Linked DNA regions of Drosophila melanogaster. The protein of the gene in region 1 purifies or fractionates together with the protein of each later gene. This does not show direct contact. Each region holds a gene or a part of one and is shown on either strand. Other genes may lie near its edges.

The links.
Region 2: the proteins of MED25 (region 1) and Usp10 purify together in Drosophila melanogaster (affinity purification with mass spectrometry, with the first as the bait; one large-scale study listed by BioGRID). This does not show direct contact.
Region 3: the proteins of MED25 (region 1) and Tlk purify together in Drosophila melanogaster (affinity purification with mass spectrometry, with the first as the bait; one large-scale study listed by BioGRID). This does not show direct contact.

The regions. Positions count from the first base shown.
Region 1 is NT_033777.3:20,006,205-20,014,555, forward strand, and holds MED25 (mediator complex subunit 25), read left to right. Parts: upstream 1-2,742; 5' UTR 2,743-2,855; coding exon 2,856-5,447; 3' UTR 5,448-5,508; downstream 5,509-8,351. Other genes in the region: Hs6st (heparan sulfate 6-O-sulfotransferase), read right to left, coding at 31-216; CG17190 (uncharacterized protein), read right to left, coding at 5,676-6,389, 7,187-7,246; CG4836 (uncharacterized protein), read left to right, coding at 8,027-8,351.
Region 2 is NT_037436.4:869,007-877,221, forward strand, and holds the start of Usp10 (ubiquitin specific protease 10), read left to right. Parts: upstream 1-3,904; 5' UTR 3,905-3,973; intron 3,974-4,301; 5' UTR 4,302-4,413; coding exon 4,414-4,869; intron 4,870-4,984; coding exon 4,985-5,875; intron 5,876-5,943; coding exon 5,944-6,193; intron 6,194-8,215. Other genes in the region: CG12502 (uncharacterized protein), read left to right, coding at 1-595, 657-860, 927-1,590.
Region 3 is NC_004354.4:3,768,503-3,776,737, forward strand, and holds the start of Tlk (Tousled-like kinase), read left to right. Parts: upstream 1-4,137; 5' UTR 4,138-4,532; intron 4,533-7,312; 5' UTR 7,313-8,117; coding exon 8,118-8,235.

The DNA.
Region 1 (8,351 bases):
TGGGAATTAATGAGGGGATTTGGCACTTACCTGATCTTGACAAAAGTATCCAAATCCGATGATGCCGGCGATGGCCAGGAAGAGGCAAAACACAATGATTGTTCGGATTTTGGAGCGCGGTTCCATTTTCTTGATTTCATAAACACCACTGGGCAGCAATAAGGCAAAATCACTATCGACTTGAACAGATACGTTCTTATGCATATCCCCGGGCATGTTCCATTCCCTGGCCTCCCTCGAAAATCGCACTAAAGGTCCAACAAGGGTCCACCCGAGTGGAGTCCAAGCGGGTATCCGTATCGGCCTAGCGCAACGAGAACCAGACGCGAATCGGAGGCGAGGCCAACTCAATCATACTTCAGTCGCTGCCCGATAAGAACTCGAAAAATGGGAACACCTTCGCCCATTGCACTTGGCGCGGAAATGGGTTTTCCTTGTCTCTCGGCTTTCAGTGCCTGCAAATGGAGTAAGAGTGAAAAACGGTTAGAAACCTATTAGTTTTGGGAGCACTACAAAAGCAACACCGTTTCCGATTAGTTACCACTTGACCATGCCGATAAAGCGGTCTGTCAAATTGTCTAGCCCTTATCTAGCCACTTACTTAGTAGCTGAAAGCTCTTCAGGGGAAAATCAAAAATAGTTTTTAAGAACCTAAATCTATGGCAGACTGATAAGAAGTTCACAATTAAAACGTACATACATAGTTAATTGGACTTTCTATTTTTTTGTTAGGGTCAAAAACTGATAAGCAGGCGGTGAAGTTGATTTATCGTTTAATCTGACCCTATTTTAATTGCAAATCTATTAGTAAGTATTCAAGACGGGCGTGAATAACAAACGTTTGTGCAATAACAAATTTATCTTTATTTGTGTGGGAAATCTTAAATTAAATTTCCACGCGCGAATGCGATCTGCAAATGTATAGCGTAACGATAAAATACATAAATCAACCAATAATGACGCAATAGTGGAAAGTGAATGGCGGAGCCGAAAGCAATGCATTTAGTATACCCTTAATCAATTAAAAATACGTTTAAATACGTTTATTATTTAAAGCAAAAAACCTACATCCGTACATGATAATACGTGCAATTACTCAAATAATAACTTATTATAGTTAAAAAATAGTTTGTACTTATTTCATTTAATATTTAAATTATCTAGTGATTCTTTATTTATAAGAACATATTGTAGTTCAGTTATAAAAATAGTTATCAATAATATGGTAAATATAATGAATGAACAGCCTTTGTTGTATGGGTGATTATTATCACAAGTCGCTTTATCTGGCTTCGATATTGTTTATATGTGATAAACCCGATTGGAAAATGCGTAACATATTAGGGTTTGAATGATATTGACTACATGCGAGTAAGTTGCATTTAGGTAGGGTATTTAAATGTACAAACACCCAACTAAAATAACTGGCGATCGGCAGTCGGAGTGACGCCCAAGCATAACTGGTGCCTTATATTTATGTAGGCGCTTTTTACTTCACGATCGGTGCTTCTGTAGCGATCACAATTATTGTAAACAAATGGAAAAGTTGCTTATTGGCAAATTGGACTAACAGAGAGACAAGAAAAAAAAGGCAGATGTGGCGAAACATGTTGCCAGGCAACAATAACAAAAAAGCATGCATGCTGTGCACACATGGCCGTTTAATTCACTTCTCTGTACTCTAAACTATACTTAAACCATGCTAATTGCCTACCCAAATTATCAGGTTTTTCGAGGCAGTGACGTCAGGGCAAGGAGTATAATTATAATAATAGAATCAAACGATTTAGCAACATTGCAGTAAAAAAAAACAGAAGCAAAGGGGAGCAACAAAAACAGAGAGAGGGCAAAATAAGAGAGAGGACAACCAGACAGAGCGAGATGCCAAACAACAGCTGTTCTTCTTGCCAGATGCGAAATGGGCAATTTAATGAAATTTATCTAGATTTCACTCACTTTTCACTTGCCAAACGTCGTGTTTGTGCACTTTTCACAATTGTCGCGGCGTCACACGTTTATTTATTTACATTTCTCTGCGTTTCAGGCGCTCGCACGCTCAATTAGCGCGCTTTCCGCTTTGTGCCACACATTCTGTGCCAGCCACAAAAAAGCCCGCAATTCGCACTTTCATGTGTTTTCGGCTATTTCTGCGATCGTTTTTCCTGCACTTGCACTGCTCAATAGCTAATGTTTAGTTAATTGACACTTTCTAAGCGTTTTGCGTATATTTTTTACGAATTATTTTGGCAAAACGACGCGGTACCAGCGTCAACGTCCGCATTCTTCAAAATCGGCGAATGAACTGAACAAAACGAACTGCGCAAGTTGGGCAATAGGAACAGCTGACCGCGCTGCCAGACTGCCGAACGGAAACTCGCTGCGAGAGTCTGGCAGCACTTGCAACCATCGATATAAACTATTGGTAACGAATATTTAAAGAATTAACTTTATAGTTCCATTGAAAATACATACATAAAACAACTATAATTATGATACCTAACATAAAACATCGTAATATCTTATTTATAGTTATCTTTTGTATGCAATATTCAATTTTAAGTTAATTAGATAAACACCAAACGTTTTTTTATTTGTGAAAATAGAAAAAGAATTCAATAGAAACAAGTTTTCAAGGCAATCTGCATATTCTTAAATCCAACTTTATGGGCACTTTTGAATATTCATTTATTTTGCAGCCCTAGCAATCGCTGAGCGATAACCATAAGTTGACTATCGATAGCAGCAGAGCGATATGCAAAACAAACGAAAAAAGTAAAAGAGCGGTGTAAAGCAGACAACATAGTTTACATTTTTTGCAACAAGTTTTTCAACTTAAAGCCAACTCCCATCGTCCAATGGAGGTGGACCAGATTCCCCTGGCCGACGTGGTCTTCGTCATCGAGGGCAGCGCCATCAACGGAGCCTACATCAACGAACTAAAGACCAACTACATCCTGCCGACTTTGGAGCACTTCACCACTGGCTCCATCGACGAGCGGGAATACCTGATTGCGGAGCGCTTTGCCACTCTGTACGGTATTGTGGTCTACCGTACAGCGGCCAATCTGCTGGAGCCAGTTTGTTCAACCTATGGTCCCTTTCTGCAGCCCCAAAAAGTGATGGAGACGATCGAAAGATTGCCACTAGTGGGAGGCGGAATGGAGTCCTGTGCCCACATGGCCGAAGGATTTGCTGCGGCCCACGGCTGTTTTGATGACATCAGCGAAAGGCGCCAGTTGCTCGATCAGACCAGCGTCCAGAGGCACTGCATTCTCATCTGCAACAGTCCGCCGTACCAGATGCCCACAACGGAGTCGTGGAAGTATCCGGGCAAATCATGTGAGCAGCTGGCGGCGCTCTTCAACGAGCGCAAAATCAATCTCTCCATTATTGCGCCACGCAAGATGCCGGTGTTGTTCAAACTTTTCATGAAGGCCGACGGAGATCAGCCCATTACGAGCAAAAACTATGCCAAGAACATAAGACACCTAGTGCTTCTAAAGGGATACAGCCTCAAGGAGAGAGCACCTAGTCCCAACAGCATGGCGGCCCAAATGGCTGCACCCAATGCGGCACAGGCTACAGTGCAGCAGCAACAACAACAGCAACAAAATCAAGCTGGTCAGCAACAACAAGGGCAGGGCATGCCCATGGACACCACTCCAGCCCAGCAGCAGCAACAGCAACAACAACAGCAGCAGCAACAGCAACAACAAGGCAATCCTCAGCAGCAGGTCATGAACATGAACACGATGCAGCAACAGCAGCCCGGTCCAAATCCCCCAGCGGGCTTACTCAATCCACAGCAGCAGCAGCAACTATTGCAGCAGCAGCAGCAGAATCAATTCGTTTCCAATCAAATGCAGAATCAGAACTTCCAGCAAAACGTGGGACCCGGCCAAAACCGCTGGATGTATCCCAACCAGCCTGGTCAGGCGCGTCCGCCCTTCATGCAGGGAGCAGGCAATGTGGGCGGTGTGGGCCAAGGCGGCGGCATGCAACAGAATCCAAATTCTGCTCTGATATCGCGCATTAATGCGCCGCCGCCGAACCAAACTGTGACCTCGCTGCAGCAGCAGCAACAGCAGCAGGCGCAGCAGCAGCAGCAGCAGCAACAACAGGCCCAACAGCAGCAGCAACAAAGGATGCAGATGCTGAGCCAGCAGCAGATGCTAAATCACCAGCAGTTGCAGCAGCAACAGCAACTGGCCCAGCAACAGCAACAGCAGCAGCAAGGACAGCAACAGCAGCAGGTAAATCCCAATGCAGGAAACAATATGATGCCGGCTAGCAATGCCGGCAACATGTCTAATCCGCAGCAGCAGCAACAACAAGTAGGACAACAGTCGAATCCGCAGCAGCAGGGCAATCCGCAGCAGCAACAGCAGGGAAATTCGCAGCAGGAGCAGGCCTCCTTGAGGGAAAAGATATGGACCGGAGTGCTGGAGTGGTCAGAGAAGCCAAAGTCCGATCAACAGAAGATTCCCCATACACTCCAGTGTACCGTGTGCACCAACATCAAAGATGGCGAGCCCGAGATCAAGGCTGAGAACTGGCCGCCCAAGCTGTTGATGCAGCTAATGCCCAAGCACCTAGTTGGCAATATTGGTGGGCAGTTTCTCAAGGACTCGAAAATGGTTGTTTTTCGACCCACTCCAGGAGAGGCACTCGATTCGCTGGCCAAGATGATGACCTCCGGCTATGCTGGCTGCGTCCACTTCTCCTCCATCCCCAACTCACCAGCCTGTGACCTTAAGGTTCTCATCCTACTCTACACGCCCGATCGCAACGCTTTTCTGGGCTTCATTCCCAATAATCAGGCAATGTTTGTGGAACGTCTGCGCAAAGTCATACAGCAAAAGCAGCACGGCAACATGCAACAGCAGCAGCAACAGCAGCAAATGATGCAGCAGCAAGGCAAGTCGCCCATGGAGCTGCAGCAGCAACAGCAACAACAACAACAGCAGCAACAGATGCAACAGGATAACTCGCAGCAGCAACACTACAACCAGTTCCAACTCAATATGCAGATGGGTGGTGGAGGTCCTGGCGGCGGACCTGGTCCCGGTCCCGGCGGCATGCCCATGCAACAGAATCAAATGCAGATGAACATGATGCAGCAACAGCGAATGCCACTGGGCGTAGGTGTTGGCGTGGGTGTTGGTCCCGGTGGCGTGCCCAATCCAAACCTCCAGCAGCAGTTGCAACAAGTGGCGCCAAACGTCGCCGCAATGCAGCAGCAGCAGGCGCAACAGCAGCAGCAGCGCATGGTGCGTCCCATGATGAGCAACAACAACCCGGGGCTGCGCCAGCTCTTGCAGCACCAGACCACGCCAGGCAATCAGTTCCGGCCGCAAATGGGTGGCCAGAATCCCAATCAAATGGGAGCAGGCGGTCCAATGGTCGGCAATCGCAACTTTGACGACGGAAACTATGAGTTCATGTAGGCTACTTAAGAGTATCGTATAAAAAACCAGAATTAAGACAGTAAAATATTTTATAAAATCCAACTGCAAGTCTTTTTTGGGGTAGTGGCAAAATCTATTTCCCAAAATCGAAATATTAATTTCTCCATTTTCATAACATTTCGTTTATTTAATTAGTAAGAATCAAGGGAAATCCGAATTTGCACAAGACTTATATTAATCACAGAACATAATCTCCGAGAAAGTCCACTAGTTTGCTCCACCGCCGCCGCCCCCCGAGGATGCGGAACTTGCACTTCCAGCGCTAGCGGCAAACACCTTGCGAAGATTCTGCAAGATGCTGAACAGAACCGTTCCCGCGCTGCCCAACGTTTCCAGAACATCGAATCCGGTGCTGTCGATGGCTGTCTCCCGATCCTCCTCCGTTTCGATGGCCGGGGAGCTGATGTTCCCGCCATTGTGGTGAGTTTCGTGGACGCCATGGTGTCCAATCAGCCGATGAGTATTGCTCTTCACATGGGAGTCGTTCACGCCGCCACCGCCAACTGTGTTTATCAGGTGCTTCACCGGCTCCAGGACCGGAATATTTAGCTTAATGCGATGCCATGCATCCGCAGTTTCGGTGAAGCCCTCATGCTGCTCGCCAGTGGCCTTCATCTCATCATCCAGCTGGTTTCGCTCGCTGACCGGATCGTCGTCCGTCTCCAGGGACAGCTCCAGACTCATGTTTCCCTTACCAGGCAGTTGCAACAAACTGCCGAAGAGCTGTTGCAGATGCGCCGAGTTGGTGGCCTCCGCCTCATTCTGCTCGAAATCGAACTCTTCACGTACTCCCGACTTGGGCTTCTGGTTCACAAAGCTGGTCACATGCAGCATTCCATTCTTGGTGCCAGAATCACTGGAGTTGGTGGGCTTGGCGGACGTCGTCGTCGTCGTCGTCGTCAGCAGTAGCAGCCACAAAAACTGCAGATACATTCGGAGAAATGGAATCTATAATTGGCGCTTAATGACCGGCTGCACGTACGTTAATGAATATTGAGTATGACCGGTAATAAGGCTTTCTATATTCAAATCCCAACGCGCACGCGTCACTGGACCTTGAATTTGGTTGAATAAGATATGGCTGCTTTACAAATCAAAGATGAGGTTTCTAAGTTATGATATGTGCCCATCTATACACTTAGAGAAAAAACCGTTCTCAAAGATCTCGATTTGAAAATTTTGATCTCAAAATTCTGCCAAGATTGAATTATGCTTCGATAGAGATCGATCCATTCTTAGATTACAATTGACTTTGCTCTCATTTTGTCAGTCTTTCCATTACGTTCCTTTTACACAATCATAAACCTGATACTTCTTCCCTCTGAAAATATTAAAATTGAGATCGTTTTCGTCTCGAAATCAAGAAGAAATCTTCTCATGATTTATGATAAATGCCACTGAGTGACGTTCTTAATTTTTCTGGGTGTATGGTGGTTGCTTCAAAAAGTCATAGGGTCCGATCGGAAGAGGGTCTGATTATATTCTTACTAATAGCCAGAGATTATAGTTTAAAGTTTTAAGCAAAGCTTTGTGTGGTTATACCTTGTATACGAAGGTGATCCCTAATGTGCAACCAAACTCTATACTCTATTCATGACCTACACCATTTTCTTGAATAGTTAGCTCATGAGTCACTTATTTGTTTAAAAAAAACCCACATTATGAATTTAGACATCGCCAAGTTCCCTAATTATCGGCAATGCCAAGTGTTTGCTTACATTAAAAAACACAATAAGACATATGGAACTACTAAGTGTGGAGCTGGCCAATCGCAACATTGTCAATGGAATCACGGATCTAGCTCTTGGCTAGAAATCGAAACTAAAACCGAACCGAAACAGAAACTGAAACCGCTGCCAGCAAAATCAGAAATCGAACTGAGGCACCAATTGATTGAGTGGGTGACCAGGTGACTAGTGAATCAATTAATATGCAGCAACGGTAGGGGCAATTGTGGTACCTAAATTTAATTCAAAATGCATTTAGAGGCCCCCAAAAAAGTCGGTTCTTCGAGTTTTTGGAGTGACAGCATTTATGGGATTATATCTGCAGCAAATAGGTTGCAGTAATCTTCCTTATTTTCAAGGACTTGCCAAACGAATCGATTGTGGAATCTTATAGAAATTTCGGGAAAGCAGTAGGCTAGCGAATTTTAGTTCATAATCTCGTTTGGCTTACTGGCCCAGTCTGAAAACATAGCCCAGTGCTAGTACACAACCTTTTGTAAACCTACAAAAAAAATTCCACCAAAATTCAAAATTCAAAGTTTTTAGTTTTTGGCCTTTCAGCACAAGTGAAAAATTAAGTAGTATGCGCTTATTTGGCAGAGTAACCAACATTTTACAGGTACAGTACATTTGAATTAAGGCTAAAACCTAAAATCAGTAGGCCCTTTACTTTTACGTTAGACATTTGGTTAGCTTTTACACCATTTTTCCTTGCTACGTCTTACACTACACAACATTTTGGTTTCTTTCCTTTCTCAAAACTGAAATTCTACCGTGTGTTAACTTATGTATTCCTGAATCAAGTCAAAAATTTGTACATAAAAAGAAAAAATGCCAGGCATATTCGGGAAGTTCCCGACTAACCGTCTCGGACTTAATCTCCTCCAGATATCTAGATGCGTTAGCTACCATGCTCCGCTATACCGACCGCGCAGCCTACTCCATGCAGAACGGTTGAGGCAACTATGCACCAGTGCCTCCTCCGGATCAAAGTCTAGCCGGAGGACGAATCATCCGTGTCGCGTCCGGGTGCAGAGGTACTCCCAAAAGGGTAGCAATGTGTTCTCGGTCAGCGATAACGTGGATATGCTGCGCAAACGGATTAGCTTTTCCGGCAACTCGAGCAATGCGCCCAAGATCATGCCCATTGGACTGA
Region 2 (8,215 bases), on another chromosome or scaffold:
CCCATGCTCATGCTAATACCACCAACTCCACCAATGCCACAAACCACCAAAACCCAACCACCACAGTCACCACTAATTACTACAATTTGCTCTCACTGAATCGATTGTCGCCGTTGGATTGGGAACTGTATTGCTCGCACCGCCGTCACCGTCGTCACCATCACCGCCACTCGCACCACCACCACCACCACCACCACAAATCCTCAAGCAGCAGTGTGCGGCGGGTGCGCCCAGTGCGACCGGGCTTGGGAGCGGGATCGCAACCCTCCGGTGGAGGCGGAGGAGGAGGTGGAGGAGGAGCTGGCTCCTCTTCGTCGGCCCGGATCATCAGCAATTCCTCCAGCCTGATCCAGAGGGCCACCAGGGAGTGCTCCCTGCTCCAGCCACCAGCTGCTAGTCGTGTCTACTGGCAGGCCTCCTCCTTTGACGGCGGCAGTAATCATCCGCCCGGATTGGGCATGAGTTCCGGCGCAGAGAAGCGCAGTGAGCGGAACAAGCGGTCGGACACCGCCAAGCGGCACGTTCTCTCCCGGCAACGACCCATCGAGCAGGAGGAGGCACGGGATCACAGTCGCAGTCCGCTGGGACACAGGCGGTGAGTTCAAGGTGTCCAATAGCTCCTCTAGCTGGCTAATAACATATACCATTGCTTACAGGAACTCTACAATGTCGGACTCCTCGTATAGCGGCCGCTGGACGGCTCGCTGTGCCTCCATGGCCAGTCGAACATCCAGTATCGAGTCTCGGCGTGTTCAAGTAGATCTTCATAGTCCCGAAGTGATGCCCAAATCCATTCTCCGTTCGCCCAAGCGCTACAGCTCGGGTCCATCGGCCACGCCTTCCGTGGAGAAGGAGTTTCGGTATGTCCATGTTGTACCCCTCCAAATCAAGTTCCCAAATAGATTTTAACTCGGTTTTCCTTGCAGGAGTCAGTTATCTGTATGCTCGGAGCCACCGCCACCGGTGCGCCAGCTGTCGGGCCAATCCAGCATGGAGCCAGCCGTTCCCGAGGAGAGTCTGGATCAGTCGGAGGAGCAGGAGGAGACGACACAGCCCAAGGCGTCCTACGAGGAGATCACCGAACTGCAGCACCACACGAGCAGCTTGCCGCCGAAAAAGGCTCGTCCGGGATTCCTGCCCCTCGCGCGCAGCGAGCAGGAGGAGGATCCGAGGCCAGTGGCCAATCCGCTATACAGGAGCAATAGTTCCCGCCAGTTCTACAGGCCCAAGAAAGGTGTTCCAAACGAGCGGGATGATTCCGTTTTCTACATACGGTCCATGGAAAGGGGATTGGCTGAAAACGGTGGGTGTGGCAGTGCGGATGAGCAGAGGTACGATTCACTGAGGGTCATCAACGAGAGGAGGACCACTTTGCTGAAAGCCGACTCCCAGGGCTCCTTGGGATCTGCGGAGCGAAAGTTGAGCAGCTTCTCCCTCAAAATGCCGGAGATCACGGAGCGGGAGAACTCGATTGAGATCGAAATAGATGCGGATGAGTTGCATCCAAGTACCCCGCCTTCTCCACCCCCGCCTCCGACACAGCCGGGCAATTCCCACACAACTGAATCAATCCAGGATCAGGATCCCTAGGATCGAATGGATACACCCACTTCTTAGCGTTTAACCAGCAGCCATCGACAATTACTTTAGCAACTCGATTGATGTTTGTATATGTATTTTTGTGCGTGTGCGTGTCGTTTATTTTTATAACCCCTAGATCGTATCTAGATAAGTGTTAAACGAGTATATATATATATATATATATATATATACCAGCAATTATCTCTGTGTTGCCTCGGGCCTAAGCAATCAACTAACGAACTAACTTCAACGACGTCTATTAACTTGATAAACTGATGTTATTAAAAATATAACTTCAGTTGCGATCGAAATAATTATAGCATGAAACGTAGAAGGATTGGTGTGCATTTTTTTTAGATTTCCTCCAATAGTCTCAGATTTATTTTCAGACATATTTTCCAACTGATTAAGGTTGTTTTTAGTTCATATTTCAAAGAGCTGAAAAATCAAACGATCTTTTTGAATCAAAATAAAGCCTATTCTTGGAAGCGCAGTTGGTTGGAAAACACATAGAGATATTATTTTGATCGCAGCTGTCGTCACTAGTCTTCCTATTGTTAGAATATGAGATATATCACGTTATTACGATCCCATATCTGGGGCCGAAATGTCCCGTTGGGTGTACCGTTGTTATCAATACTATTTATCGGTTAATGTTAATGCTAATCTCTACGAGGATGTGTACTCACAACGATCTAAATACGAGGGCGTGGCCAAATAAATGCCAGACTTGTGCATACCCTGTAAAAAGTACAATCAGCTTATAGTAAAGACTGATTAGGCAAATTGATTTACAAAATTGGTCAATGGCGAATGGAAAACTAGTCAATGAAAAGCAATCGGAACACGGATTAAGTTCGATGCACATATATAATTAGTTGTACGCTCTCAGTGTTAATCCCCACATTACAGCATTATATGTACCTATACGATTATATATCTGAGTGTTTATTTGTAATCCATGCAATTACAATGTTTCTCGTTCCATAATAGATGTTGAAAATCCCACAGCAATCCGAAAATTCAAAATGCCCGAGTTGGTTTAAATGGAAGGCCGAACACGAATCTCTGTTGATGTGCAGCGAATTTTTGTATAATTGTTCATTGCATGTTTAATATTGCATAAATAAAAACAAACAATGTGTGTCTAATAATAGTCTTGGTGTTTTGTATTGTCGAATACGTCCGAAATAGGTTTTAATAACATAGTCAAGCATTCAAATTACCCGCCAATTTTCCACAGCGTTGCCATCGGTTGCAGGCGGGTGGCCACCCTGGCCATCGATAGCACGCGCCGACGATTATCGCACTGTCATCGAATTGCGACAACCCTGGGAGCAGGAAGGTTTTTCGGCCGAAAAATAGAGAACAATAAAACGTTTGTGGCCCTCAGCAATATAGGGATCGCCGAGTGCCGTGTTAACCGGTGACCTCTCGCCCGTGCCCCGAGACCTGTGACCCCGCGCAACTGCCCGCCTCAATGTTAATTTGTGGCAGCAAAAGCAGCAGAATTTGGAGCAGCAGCGTGTAAAAAGTTGCGGAATTATCGTGGCACCGCGGAGAAAGAGAGAGCAGGAGAGAGATTGCCGCACGCATAAAATATGATCAAATTGCAAAATTGATTTCAATTGGCCACTCAACAAAAGGTACGTTCGATACACCCGCCCCGGCGCCCACGAAATTAGCACAATAATAACACCAAACACCTGGCTCCTCCATTTACATAAAACTCGGAAGAAGTAAACCTGGCAACTAGTAGGGAATCGTGGACTTTTTGCTTCCAGCGAACGTTATTTTCCCATTTCTTCCATTTGCCCTGCCTCTCCGTGTGTGCATGTGTGCGTGTGTGTGAGTGCGTGCATGTGCTGGTGTATGTGTGTTGTGTTCGGCAGAGATGAGTAATTTAAAACTCCCAAAGAACAGCAATGAATGTCTGTCAAATGCAGGTAGTTTTCAAGATGAACGACCAGCTTCCATGCCGAAGTCATTTCACTTTCCATGACCAACTTCTAATCTAGAAAAACCCATTAAAAGAGCCCTTTGAACCTGTTACATTCGTGACCGATATTTACGTGAGCCGGCAAATCGTCGCAATTACTCATCTCTAGCGGGCGCCGTGTGGCACCAAAAAATCGTCCAGAAAATGTCCAGAAATGCAATGGGCAGCAGTTAGTTTTGTTTGATAAATATGCATTTATAATGCGTCTACATTTGAGATAATTCCCGTGTAAGCCTTATTTAAATTATGCGTCTCTTTTGCTTTGTTTATTTGATTTTCTCATTACACCGTCTCATCACAGCTGTGCGGCCTTGCCAGATCGCTTTTCTGGCTGCGGCACGCGGAGTGGCGTGAATTGAAAATCGCATTTAATTAGAATTTAACCTGCGTCGGGTAAAATATAATGAATTTGTGCGCTCCAGCTGCATAAGCTAGTGTTAGAATTGAAGTTACTTTATTGATGTGATATATTTAAACGTGCGGCTCAAGATTTGTAGAATCAGCCATAGTATTCAACAGTTGGTCTTGTCAATAGAAATTGTTTTGAATCATTACCCTCATGCCCCCATACTTTATATTAATAAATTTAATTAGGGGACTCTAATAAATGGTGTATTCTTCTTTCGACTGCGTGCATAATTAATATTGATTGCCCAGTCTTATATAATTATCTCCTTAATGTACTAATTAATCAATTGCTATGCGCTCTCTTTCCGATCAGCAAAAACCAATTTCAATGTTTGGCGCCTGCTGCGACTCTTGAGACTCGTCTAAATCCGCAAGTACATTCAACCGGAATTTGAGCCAAGTTTCTAACCTTTGGCCTCAAAGCCATGGCATCCACGTCGTCGTCGGCTTCCACGACGGCGGGATCCTCCGGCGCGGCAGGCGGAGGAGCAGCCACGCCCATCTCAACGCCCTCGACGCCCCAGCCGTCTGGCGTGAGCAGCGGACCCGGCAATAATGGCAACAACAACAACAACCATCACAACAACACCCTGGTCTCACCATCCGGGAACAACAACTTGATGACGCCCGTCCAGGCATTCACTCCAACCGGACAGCCAGTGTACAATCCACCCGTCTATATGTCCGCCCACGGAGGACACCCGCACGCCGGAGCCCACTACCCGGCCATGATCCCCGCTCCGATGCCCAGCAATCACGTCTATGTGAACAACGTCACTGCCAATGTGAACCTGCATGGCTGGCCGCACGGTGTTCCGGCTTATATGCCACCCGGAGGTCAGCATCACTACATTGGACACGGCGACATGCCCCAGGAGCAGGTGGGTGAAACAGAACAGGATCTATATACATCTGTTCGATAATTTCGCTAATTACTAAGCATTGTTACTAGCTAGCACCTACATTACTGACCTTCTTACTTGTTATTCCACACAGGGCAACACGGTGATGCCGCACCTGCAGCCTGTGCCCATTAATTTGGCGCCCCAGGGCGGATCTCCGAATCCCCATGGTCCTAGAATGGGTGGCGGACGGATGCGCGAACGAGGTCGTCCCCGTGGCGGTGGACCGCGACGCAATGACTACCATGGGCCACGTCACCTCCAGCAGCAGCAACTGATCACCCTTCCGCCGCAGCAGCAACTGCCACCGCCGGACGGAGCCAATCCCGGGCTGCAGCTTCAGCCGGATCAGATTGGTCAGCAGTTGGCGCCGCCGGAGGCGCACATGCAGCACTTACAGCAGTACTACGCGGCGCCACCAACCTACGCCTACGGGCCATATCCCTCTCCCTACTTCACACCCCAACATGCCAATGTGCAGCCTCCCCCCAATGCCACTGCTGCCCAACAGGCAACTGGAACGCCGCTCTTCATCTCCGGACCGCTGATGTATAATCCTGCGTGGTTCAACCACGGTGGGTACATCTACCCCATGATGCATCCGGCTGAGTACCAGTATGTACCCGAAGACGCTGGCCAGCCGGGAGTGGATGAACGTGGAGCTCAGCCGGACGGCGGAATGACCCAGATCTGGCACCAGGGCCCCATGTACGCAGAGGACTTCGAAGCGCTACAGCAGCAGCAACAACAGCAACAGGTGGCTGTGCATCCCAATGGAGGTGCTGTCAGTGTAGCCGATGAGCTCAACCACAATAGCTCATCCCTGCCCTCCTCGGAGACGTCGAGCATGATCAGTCCAAACTATCCCATCTACGATCCACAGATGCACGAAATGCAGCACCAAATGGGCGTGATGCAGATATTCGACGATGGTCAGATGGCCGCCCTGCAGCCAATCCATCCAGGAGCGGGTCCGCTACCGCAGGTAAGTGGGCCTGGCATACCGTGAAGCTAAAGACAATGGCAATACTAAACATTTCTTATCGTTAATAGTACGAGGACGAGCTAGCCGAGTGCGGAGCACCGCCACCAGGCCCTATTCCGGTGGCCTGGACTGCTGCCATGCCCCTCCCTCCGGATGCAGTCCAGCCAGCTCTGCTGCCGCCACCGCCGCATCACATTTTGCAGCAAACGTCGCCCCTGTTAATCGAACAGCCAGCCCAGTTGGTTCAGGCGCAACCTCCGCAGCCACCAACACCCACTCCCCAACAGCAGCAGCAACAACAACATCAGGAGCAAACGGGTGAGTGCTAGTGCTCGGTATTGATTAGTGATTCATTTGGGAATTGGAATTCATAATGCAAGCTGAGTTTCACTTTGTCTAATTTCCCATTTTCCATTCCGAACGTTCATAATCTTGCATCATTCGATGTTGCTCGATAAGGAATAATCAATCATTATGAATTGTATAAAAACTAGAACTTTGCACAGACCAATTGAAAAATGTGTATATTGGCTGAGTCATGAGTATTTGAATAATCTCCTCGTTGTGGGTCAATGACTTTTCACTATCTTACTATTATGAGTTTTTGTTGTCAACTAATTCTTAACTTCAGTCGATTTAGTTGTACATATGTGGTGTGTTCCTCTCTCAATATATATCACCATATATTTTATCACAACTATAAAGTAACTCTGCATTTGTCCTGTTATTGTTTTGGAGCAAGCTCAGCGATAAAGGCAGCGAGATCATTTTGTGGACTTTTAACACGACTTTCGCACAGAGTATCTGCGTTTCGTGTTACTTTACATCTATTGAAAGGCAGTTTTTCTATGTTGTACGAGTATATTGGAATTCGTCATGGCGTGCCTTCGATAGCGTCGCCTGGTCCCGTGTTCATATGCAGTTTTTTGCTTGCTTTGCTTTTCCACGCTTTCATTAACTATATTCTCTTCAGTTGCCTTACACTCTTCTCAGGTGTCAAATGACATAAACGTATTTACGTATGTGTGCACATTTTGCCATAGTTTGTGGGCCTTAATTATTCTGAATGCTTGTTGCCAGGCCTACCTTTGTTTTCGGTTGCCCTTTTGCTTTGGGCTGGGCTTTCATCTATCGTCGTGTAGTCGCCAACAGGTGTTGAACTTGTTGACCACCCATCCACCCACTGAATCATCCACAACCCACTCTCTAATCAGCAGCACAAGTCGCTTCCGTCCAGTTCTTTGTTATTATTATTTTGTTTGCTCGTTTCTTGTGTGCATTGTTCACGCTTATCAATCGAATGGGCGGACAAATCCGAGTGAAAATACCGGGTTGGGACGTCTCCCACTCCCAATCGTAATTGAGTGTTTTATGTGCCCATGCGGGGGATTCATCTAAACCTGTTGGCCTGGCGTATTATATTTGCCTGTTGTCAAGCCTAATTACCAAACAAAAGGCCAAGTGGACAGAGAAGATGTAGGGTAATCTATTCGGTTCTATTTGACCACTGTAGATTCTGTAGGTTCCATTTCAGTTAAAGAATTGTATGAAATTTGATCGATTGGCTACTAATCCCTTCCAGCGGCCAGTTTTCTTGGGCTGCGGTTGAAACAGAATCGCATATAGGTGCAGGTATTACTTCATTGATTATTAACACAGTAGATTGCAAGATTTTGATTGATTTATGGTTATTCTAGAGATATTTAATTGTTTTTTTTTTTAATTGCCTCTCGTGTTTGAATGCACATGGAATGGGAATTGGGAATCTCTCACGAAATGGAGGAGGTCTTGCCAACTGATTGGGTTCCAGTTGTTTTCATAACCGTATCTGTATCTACGTTGATTCAACGAGCACCGTCTAGTCGAGAGGTTTTTCTTTTATGGCTGTTTTCGAAGCACTTGGCTTTGCAGACGGCTTTCATATGGCGATATCGCCAAGTGTTTGTCCACTGACTAGAGAATGATACACACTACAGTATTCCTCTGGTCGGCCACAATTAGTGAAGCCATAACTCATCGTGGCAAATTGATTAGGCTAATCATTTGGGTCGAGGGTTTTACGAGTAAGCTTGTTATGATCTGATTTTCCGCGACATCGAAGGGGTTTCACGTTCTTTGATAAATGCATTAACTTAAGTCCAAGGCAAACTTTTGATCGATGTCTTTTAGAGCGGCACACGCTCCCCGGGGAGATTATAATTGTGCTAGAGCTTTCACGAGCTACCTCTTGATAGAAGTACTTACGCTTATTCAAATAGAGCGCAGTCCATTGAGTCCATGTCTGTCGGTTTCCCCGAACGTTGTGAAGGTCACGAGGGAAAAACTTACTGAAGAAAAGTT
Region 3 (8,235 bases), on another chromosome or scaffold:
AAAATGGGGTGGCCAAATTTTGTTGGAAAAAGGGGCATGGTGGTGGCTTTGGAGTGCAGCAGGTGCAGGAGCGCCGAATGCATTTGGCCCAATGCATACGACCACACACACACACACACACACATAGATGTTCTCCAAGCTTACACACACACCCACACATACACACATACAGACACGCACAGCAGTGCAGAAGCACGCAGCCCACACGCAGACAAACTTTCCATATTTCCAGGCGAGTTTGAAATATTTGCTTTGGCTTCGCTTGGCCTCTGTGTATTTGGCAGGCCATTCTACCACCCCACCCCCCACCCCCCTTTCTGACCCACCCACTTTTCACCTCTTCAGCCGCCCGCTGTGGCAAGAGTCCTATATGCCACAAGCCAACCATCCCCACCCCATGCCACCCCACCCCTTTCCTCTCTCTTTGGCTCTTTACCGCCGCTAGTTTTTCAGCCTCTGCTGATAATTGCACTGCTTTCTCCAGCTAATACCATACACCCCAACAAATTAATTACCTTGAAACGAATAAATAACAGCTGATGTTTGCATTTCGTTTGCATATATGCAACATTATCAGTTGTTCATGAATGAAGAATATCGAAAATTTGTTTTCATTTAAACAAGACATGGGAATTTTGCTAAGTGCAGTGCCCTAGTGTTCTGCTGCAGCTCTGCCGCTGCTCTGCCCTCACTTTAGTTGTTGTTTAGTTAGCTCTCCACTCAGATGTTGCACTTGATGTTTGGCTACAAGTGCAAGCGAGACGAAAAACAATTCCAGTGGCAGTTGCCTGGTTGGTAGCAGAAAGGATGAGAGAGCCCTCCTCCTTTGAAACAGCCATCCTATAATCGTTAACCCAAAAGTGAGCTGCGAATTTCGGCGAGAGCCAACCAAACCCACACCCTACCCCGCCGCCACCCGCCTTGGACAACATTTGAAATGATGGTGTGCGGGCGGTTTTTGGCGGTAGGGTTCGTTTGGGCCAAGAGCATGATGATGATGGAGGGGTGAGGTAGTGGATTTGGGTGGGCAAGAGAGGAAGGATTTGGTGGTGGAGACCAGCACCAGCTGGTCGCACCAGCCACTGCCAATGATGATGGCTCAAACCAATCAAACTACAGAATGCCTTAAACATCAGCATCAACTATACGCCCCGTTTGCCAGAGATTTTTGAACGCACCAAGGAAAACCAACTAGAAAACCGACTAAACATGACTGGATTAGGCGCAGGGTCGGGAAATGTATGGTTTCTACCTGTTTCGATAGTTTCCAACGAATCTAGTATGAGTTATCATACGTTCGATTCAAATATGTTACAATTTGATATTTTAGTTCTGCCGTTTTTTTTTTGTTAATTTTTTTTTAACATCGAAAAAGAAAAAAAAAGAAGCTGGCTGGGTGTCAGAAAAAAGCTTTTCAAGCTTGCGCTTGGTGGATAAAAATCAAGAAAAATCGCCAGCGAATCTGAGTGTACAATCGTAATCGAAAAATAGAAGTTGTGTCCAAAACGGACGGCAAAAAAAGGCGAAGGCGAAACAAAATGAAGAGAAGAGAAAGAGGCAGCATGAACTTCCAATGAAATTTCGTATGACTTGCGTTCATTGTTGTTATTATAGCTGCTGTATAGCTGTATATAGTGCCCCGATATATATAGACAGACGCCAATACATCGTTCATATAAGTACGTATATATGTATGTATGTATGTATATGTATGTATCTATACATGCATACTCTTACACACGACTAAGTATGTCACAATTAGTCTGACTGATAAATATTCACGAGTTGCTCTTTGATTGAAATTTCAACTGAAACCAGAAAAGCTGCGAATCGCATTGGAATTCGCATTAAATGCCCGACATGACAGATAATTGAAAATGCTGTCATTCAAATGCAATGAAAAATTAACAACCCTAATTAACCGCCCTAAAAACCGAGTTCTTTGTGTTGCCAACTAAAAATCGATGTACATATGTATGTATGTATGTATTTACATGTGGATATGGGAATATTCCTACCATATTATTTCGCTCAGTATTTTCGGGTTTTGCTTCTCAGTTTGCTCTTTATTTGCCTTAGCGCTGCATTGTTTGTTCTAATTAAATCTTATCTAAACAATTTTAAGCACAAATTGTTTCAATGGCAATAAAAAGTAGAAAAAATCACAAAAGCTCGGCGAGAGCTCACAGCAAAGTCGAGGGCAATGTTCTAAAGCAAAGGCTATATAATAAGCGCACCTCGATAGATTTTCCCATACCCACTATACATACATACATATATTGTACATTTGGTTACAAAATAAAATAAAAAAAAAAGCAAACTGCAAGATAAGGGAAGGGGAGAATCCGAGGGGCACACAAAAATGTGAGAATCAAAATCAATAACTCAATAGGCATTCGAAAAGGAAAACAGAAATAAGCGCAAAGCGAAGCAGATTCGTTCAATAAATAATGCGTATACGCTTCTATATACATATGTATGTTACATATACATACATACATTTTATATATATGTATGCCGATTTACAGGGAAACAAACGGGTTGTGTTTAACCCACAGCCAAAAGGCAATCGAAGGCGGCTATCCTGACTTCTGGCTTCTCAGTCTTGGCTTTTGCTGGCTGGCTCTCCGTTCGAATCGACTGGACTATGACAGTCAGCCGATAAAGATGATCGGGCCTAAGAGTCGGTCAAATAATGTCGGTGGTTGGCAGGGGTGGGGTGTGTACCCTGAGTCGAGTTGAGTCACCAACTACACTACATGCCCCATGCTCTAAACATGCGCTCATCCCCAGAATCGTAATTTGTGCCTCATTTATACACACAATTTCAATGACAAATCGATTGAGGTGCTCAGTTTGCCGATTTCTGGTTTATATTTATAAAACCGATTGGTAATCTACGCGGAATGGCAAATACATACATACATACATACATACATACGTTTAGAAGGAAACACAAAATCGCAAATAGCGCTAATCAAGTTGGAATTGCAACAAACCCCATAATTGAATAAGATTTGTATTGTACATACATATATTTTACAAATGTATATTTATGTTTTTTTCTATGCCTTTTTGGTAGTACCTTGCTGCTACCTTGTTGGAAATATATGGGGAATGTGGCTCCGAGAATACACAATCTCTGGTGTATTCCCCACTTTTTCAGCTGCTTCCTCTGCATTCGTTATCTTTCTCTTTGTGTACATAATATACTTGCTTTCACATACATATGTATGTCCATACATATATGTTTGTATATGTACGTAACACATTTTCCCGTTGATAAGAATAATGAAGTTAACTTATAGAGCCATTCCGTTTCCGATTCAATCCGCAGTTCGATTCTTCGCTTTTTCATCACTTAATTCGCGCTTTTTTATTACAATAAATTCCATTTTTTTTTATCAATTTGTATAAATAAATGTCCTACGGATTTAGAAAAACCAGTTCTGCTGGCTTAAGCGATGATTTTATAATGTTTTTCAAGAGCGATGAATTATGAAACTGCAGGGATAGTATAGGATGTATGTATGTATGAATGTATTATGCCCCATCTTTTCGATACCTATTTATTTAGATCTCGCTCTTTTCTCTGCCCTCTTGAATACCTCTAAAAATAAACTAATTTCCCCTGCAGTTTCGTTTTAATTTTATTTTTTTTTAAGTCCTAAACAATTCCATTCTGCTAAGAATTGAAATTTTTGTCAAGATTTCTCACCTATGAATGTACACATCATGGGTATTGGATGTATTCATGAATGCTAGAAAAAAAATGTAACAAAATGGGGAATATTATTCATTCCAACAGATGCGGTAATGTTTCTGTTCTTGCTCCCTTGCCTTGTTTTTTATTTACTTTTTTTTTGGCAATTTTCGGTTTGTTTTGCTTTGCCGGGTATATTTATACATTTGCGATAAACAAAATATGTATATTCACGACGACAATGTCGATTACCTCATATGAAATATTTGACTCGGCCAGCAAATAAGAAGCGTATTTAACAATATGACACGCCCCTCGCCCGTCGTCTGGCCCAAACGCCCAATCCCAATAATATCGGTGACTTATGCTTAACTTTGGAAGCCTAATAATTCAACACAAGTCCATTTAGAATTAATTTTCGACATTTATTTTTTGAACTTTGACATTGTAATGTTTTCACTGAGGATTTGATAGGGTATTCAACTTTTCGTCTTTTGCTTTCAATCCGTCATTCGTGAGTTTTTATTTTGTGCGAATTTTCTGTTCTGTCGCCTTTTATTATTATTACTACAGTTTTATATATTTTTTTGTGTGAAGCGTACTCTGCCGACGTCGCTGCCACTGCCAGCGCTGTCGCTTTGACGATTTGCGCTTTGCGTTGCGCTTACTCACAATCAAATCTCACGCCGCATTTTTAGTCTCAATAATAACTGAAACGAAAAACACGCGCAGCCGAAACGAAGCGCAAACCAAAGAGTAAAGCGAAAGAAGCAAGGAAGGCAAACGGCGAACAAAAACGCAAAACGAAAACGACGACACGTCGTCAAACGTCAGTTGCCTTTTATTTATTTTATTCCGCCACTCTTTCCTCTGTGTCCGTTCATTTTCTTTTGTTCAATTTCTTTATTTGCGAGTGTTCGTATGTGTATGAATGTGTGTGCTGATTGTTTTTGCATTTCGCGTTTGCTCAAATAGTAAATTAAACTGTTTTTAAGTTATCCACAAAAAAAGGGTCGGGGAGGGTGTGAAAAATAGAGGAGACGAGAGCAACTCGTTCTTCGTCACTCGCTGCGTTTTTTGTTGTCGTGGGTCGCCGTCTTTTCCACTGACTGGGTCGCTCTCTTTCTCTCTTATCCCCTTCTCACACCTCATTTGCCTGTTCTTGTTATAGTTGTATTTGTTGGTTCAGCATAATTAGACGACTCTGCGAGAGTAACAGTGCTGTCAGTTCAACGGTTTTCCCCGCCAGATCTAATTGTAAGACAAATTAAATTTACCATTAGAATTTACATACTTTTATTGGCGTCGAAATGAAAAAAATATTAGGTCGATTTTGTTATACAAACCGATATAATTGTTATTTCTATATAAGATATGAGCTTCCAAATCCATCCATATTTTTTAAATATTTATTCCAAATGAAGCACATAAAATTATATTGAGCAACACTATTGCTCTCCACTTTTCATTGTGCTGTTTTGTTTTTGGCCCTCTTTGCCTCTCCCACATGAGGTTCTCTATGTTTTTTTCGCCATTGTTGTGTTTCTACATTCGCGGCATGTTAATTTGTTGATTCTCGTTCTCAATGCTTTTTTGTAGGTTTCTTTTGTTTTATTTGTCATACTCGCCGTTTGTTATCAAAAGGGAAACAACAAAAGGCCAACGACAAGCAAAGGCAAACAGATAAACGTCGAAAGCTTGTCGCATATTTAAGGTATTTGCCTGGTTTCATCTCATAAAGCTTTTAAACATTCTAACTAGTTATGCTTTCCATTCGTTCCGTCTTCTTTTTTCTAATTGATTACGCGATTTTTATAGAATTTCTGATCGGAAATGCCGAATTAAAGTCTAATTAGGGGGGTATGCAGAAAATGTAGAAAATGTATTTATCAAATAATTTTTCTTATCTTTTTCGGTTGACCCAGATGATTGAAATCGTATAAAATTCTTTTAAATCTTGACTTTTAACGTGTTCGATAACATATCCCTTCATATGTTTGTTCGTGATTTTTTCAATCTTTTTTCACCTCGTCTTCTTTATCTATCAGTGTCTCTGTTTTGCTCACTTTGCTTTGCTATTTTTCTGATTGTGCGACAACTGCTTAACAATTCACAATTATGTACATACATACATATGTATGTACGTATAGATCTACAGTAAATCCTGGTATTGTATTCATTGTGTCGCCCCAAATTTTATGAATTTTTTGTAACATCAAAGACAACACAAATAGTAGATCTAGAAACTATCTACAAGATCAAAAAGATCTTTTTTGGAATTGTGTTTATTTCTTTTAGATAGATTAAATAACTCGCGTTTGTTTTGAGGAGACTTTACTGTCGTTTCGTGTGCACATCTGACTATGTAGTGTCCGTGTGTATTTGTTGATTGACTCAACTTGACGACGGAGACACACGCGCGCCCAATTCACAAAACTTTTGTTTTATACACCGAATCTTTTATTTTCTGTTTTCTTATTTGTTATGCTGCGTGATTACGTCAGCTGGCATTTGGTTTTTAATTTTCGAAGGCCTGGGAAAGCATATGCACATACAAACACACAAACACTCTCTAACTAACTCACTCATATGCAAAAAAAAAGGAGAAAACAGGTACATAAAAGTGTGTAGAAAAATTTAATCATTTTGCTCTGGCACAGTTGTTGTTGACTTGTTTCTGGTGAAAGTTTCACAAATCAAATGGAGGAAAAATCAGCGACGAATCGCAAAAAAGTGCAACACAACTCATCCATTAAAAAGTAAAAATCGCTGAAAAATCCTAAAGAAAATAAAAAAAAGGAAGAAACCAGGGAAAATTGCAGATTTGAGTTCATTGATTTTCTTTTGCTTGTGAAAATCCGAAATATGCAAAAATGAGTGTTTTACCTATGACCAATACATACGTATGTATGTACACCATCTACACCAATGACTTTATTTGTGTATGTGCAAATTTAATTTATCTTCTCCCTTAATATATCCCAAAACGAATGAAAAAAATAGACAGAGAATGTATAAAAGTGCCCACAGCCCCGCATTATTTCTCTGTCTCGTTTTTTTTTTGTCCCCCTCTCTGTCTTGCTTCATCACCTGTCATTGGCAAGGCAACCGTTAGCTTGCATTTTGTCGGCGAAGTAACGGCACAAGTATTGCCTTCTCTCTTTCATTTACAATATTGGCGAAAATACTACAAAATGATTCGATATTTTTTTTTATTAAAAAGTGTCATCATTTTCAGTTTTATTGTTCTTATTTATTTCTCCTAAAAACGTCGTAAAGTTTATGTACATACATGACCATACATATCTATTAATCCATAAACAATAGTTTTGTTGTGGCTATAATTGTGATTAAACAGCACTGAAACAAATTAATACGAGGGTTTTATTTGTTGCGGTTGCTTTCGATTACGAAATGTACATACATGTGTATGTATGTGTGTATGTGTATATGCGTTTTGTATGTGTTAACATTTGCATTCTTAACGTGAGCTGCGCAAGTTGAACGAAATAATAAATGCAGCCATCAAAAAATAAAAAGTCAAACGAAGCTAATAGATTTGGATATAAAAATTATTTAAACTACATATGTATGTGAAATGATTTACAGATATACCCTGAATAAAATGCTGTGGATAAGGGGATTAAAAAAATATGTAATTGCATTGCAGTTAGCGAATGTGCAAGCTTTCTAACGCCGAAGTCAGCGTGGGCAGCGCAGTCAGCGGTCTTGCCAACAAGAACAAGCGCGAAACATCGCGAAGCAACGAGAGCATGGCAGAGCCGCAGAGCAGCAGCGAGAGGAGCACCGCTGAGAGCAGAGAGCAGAACGACATTTCGGCTGCAGACGGCGGTGGTGTCGGTGTCGTTTTGGTTTTGTCGGCGGTTGCTAAACACAATTTAAGTTCACTCGGTTAGCAGACATTACACACTGCCTGCTCTCATACATATTTACGCACTTGTATATACATGCAATGTGCCTGTGTGTGCGCAAGAAACCAGAAAAAACGAAAAGTACAACATTCGTTGAGTCGCGTTCGGCTTAATTTTTTTTTGTGTTACCGTGTGTGTGTTTGTGCTTTGGATTTGCCAATTTTAGCCGACTGGCTCTCAGTGTCGAACTTAAACTTAAAGAGCGAGCAACGTGACGTGTCGCCCAGTGTCGCTTAAAATTCGCGCACACAACTTCCTACTACAAAAAAACGAAAGAAAGAAGGAGAAAAAACGTTAAAGGCGAGACTTGTTTTTTTTTCTTGTGCATCTCTGTGTGTTTGTGCATGTGTGAAGAGAAACAAAGAGAGGGAGATAGACGGAGAGTCGCAAAGCGAGAGAGCTAGAGCAGCTGATTCAGCCGGCAAGTGTCAGCTGTTTCGTGCCTGAGCGAGATAGAGCTAGTTTAGCGAGGCGAACATGTTATGTCTTGTACGCCGTCTCCTCTTTGCGGTTCATTCGCTCTAGCAATGCTCCAGCAACAACAGCAACAACTGGAAATAAGAGAAGCACAGCAAAGGCAACAACAGAAATCGCGTTTAC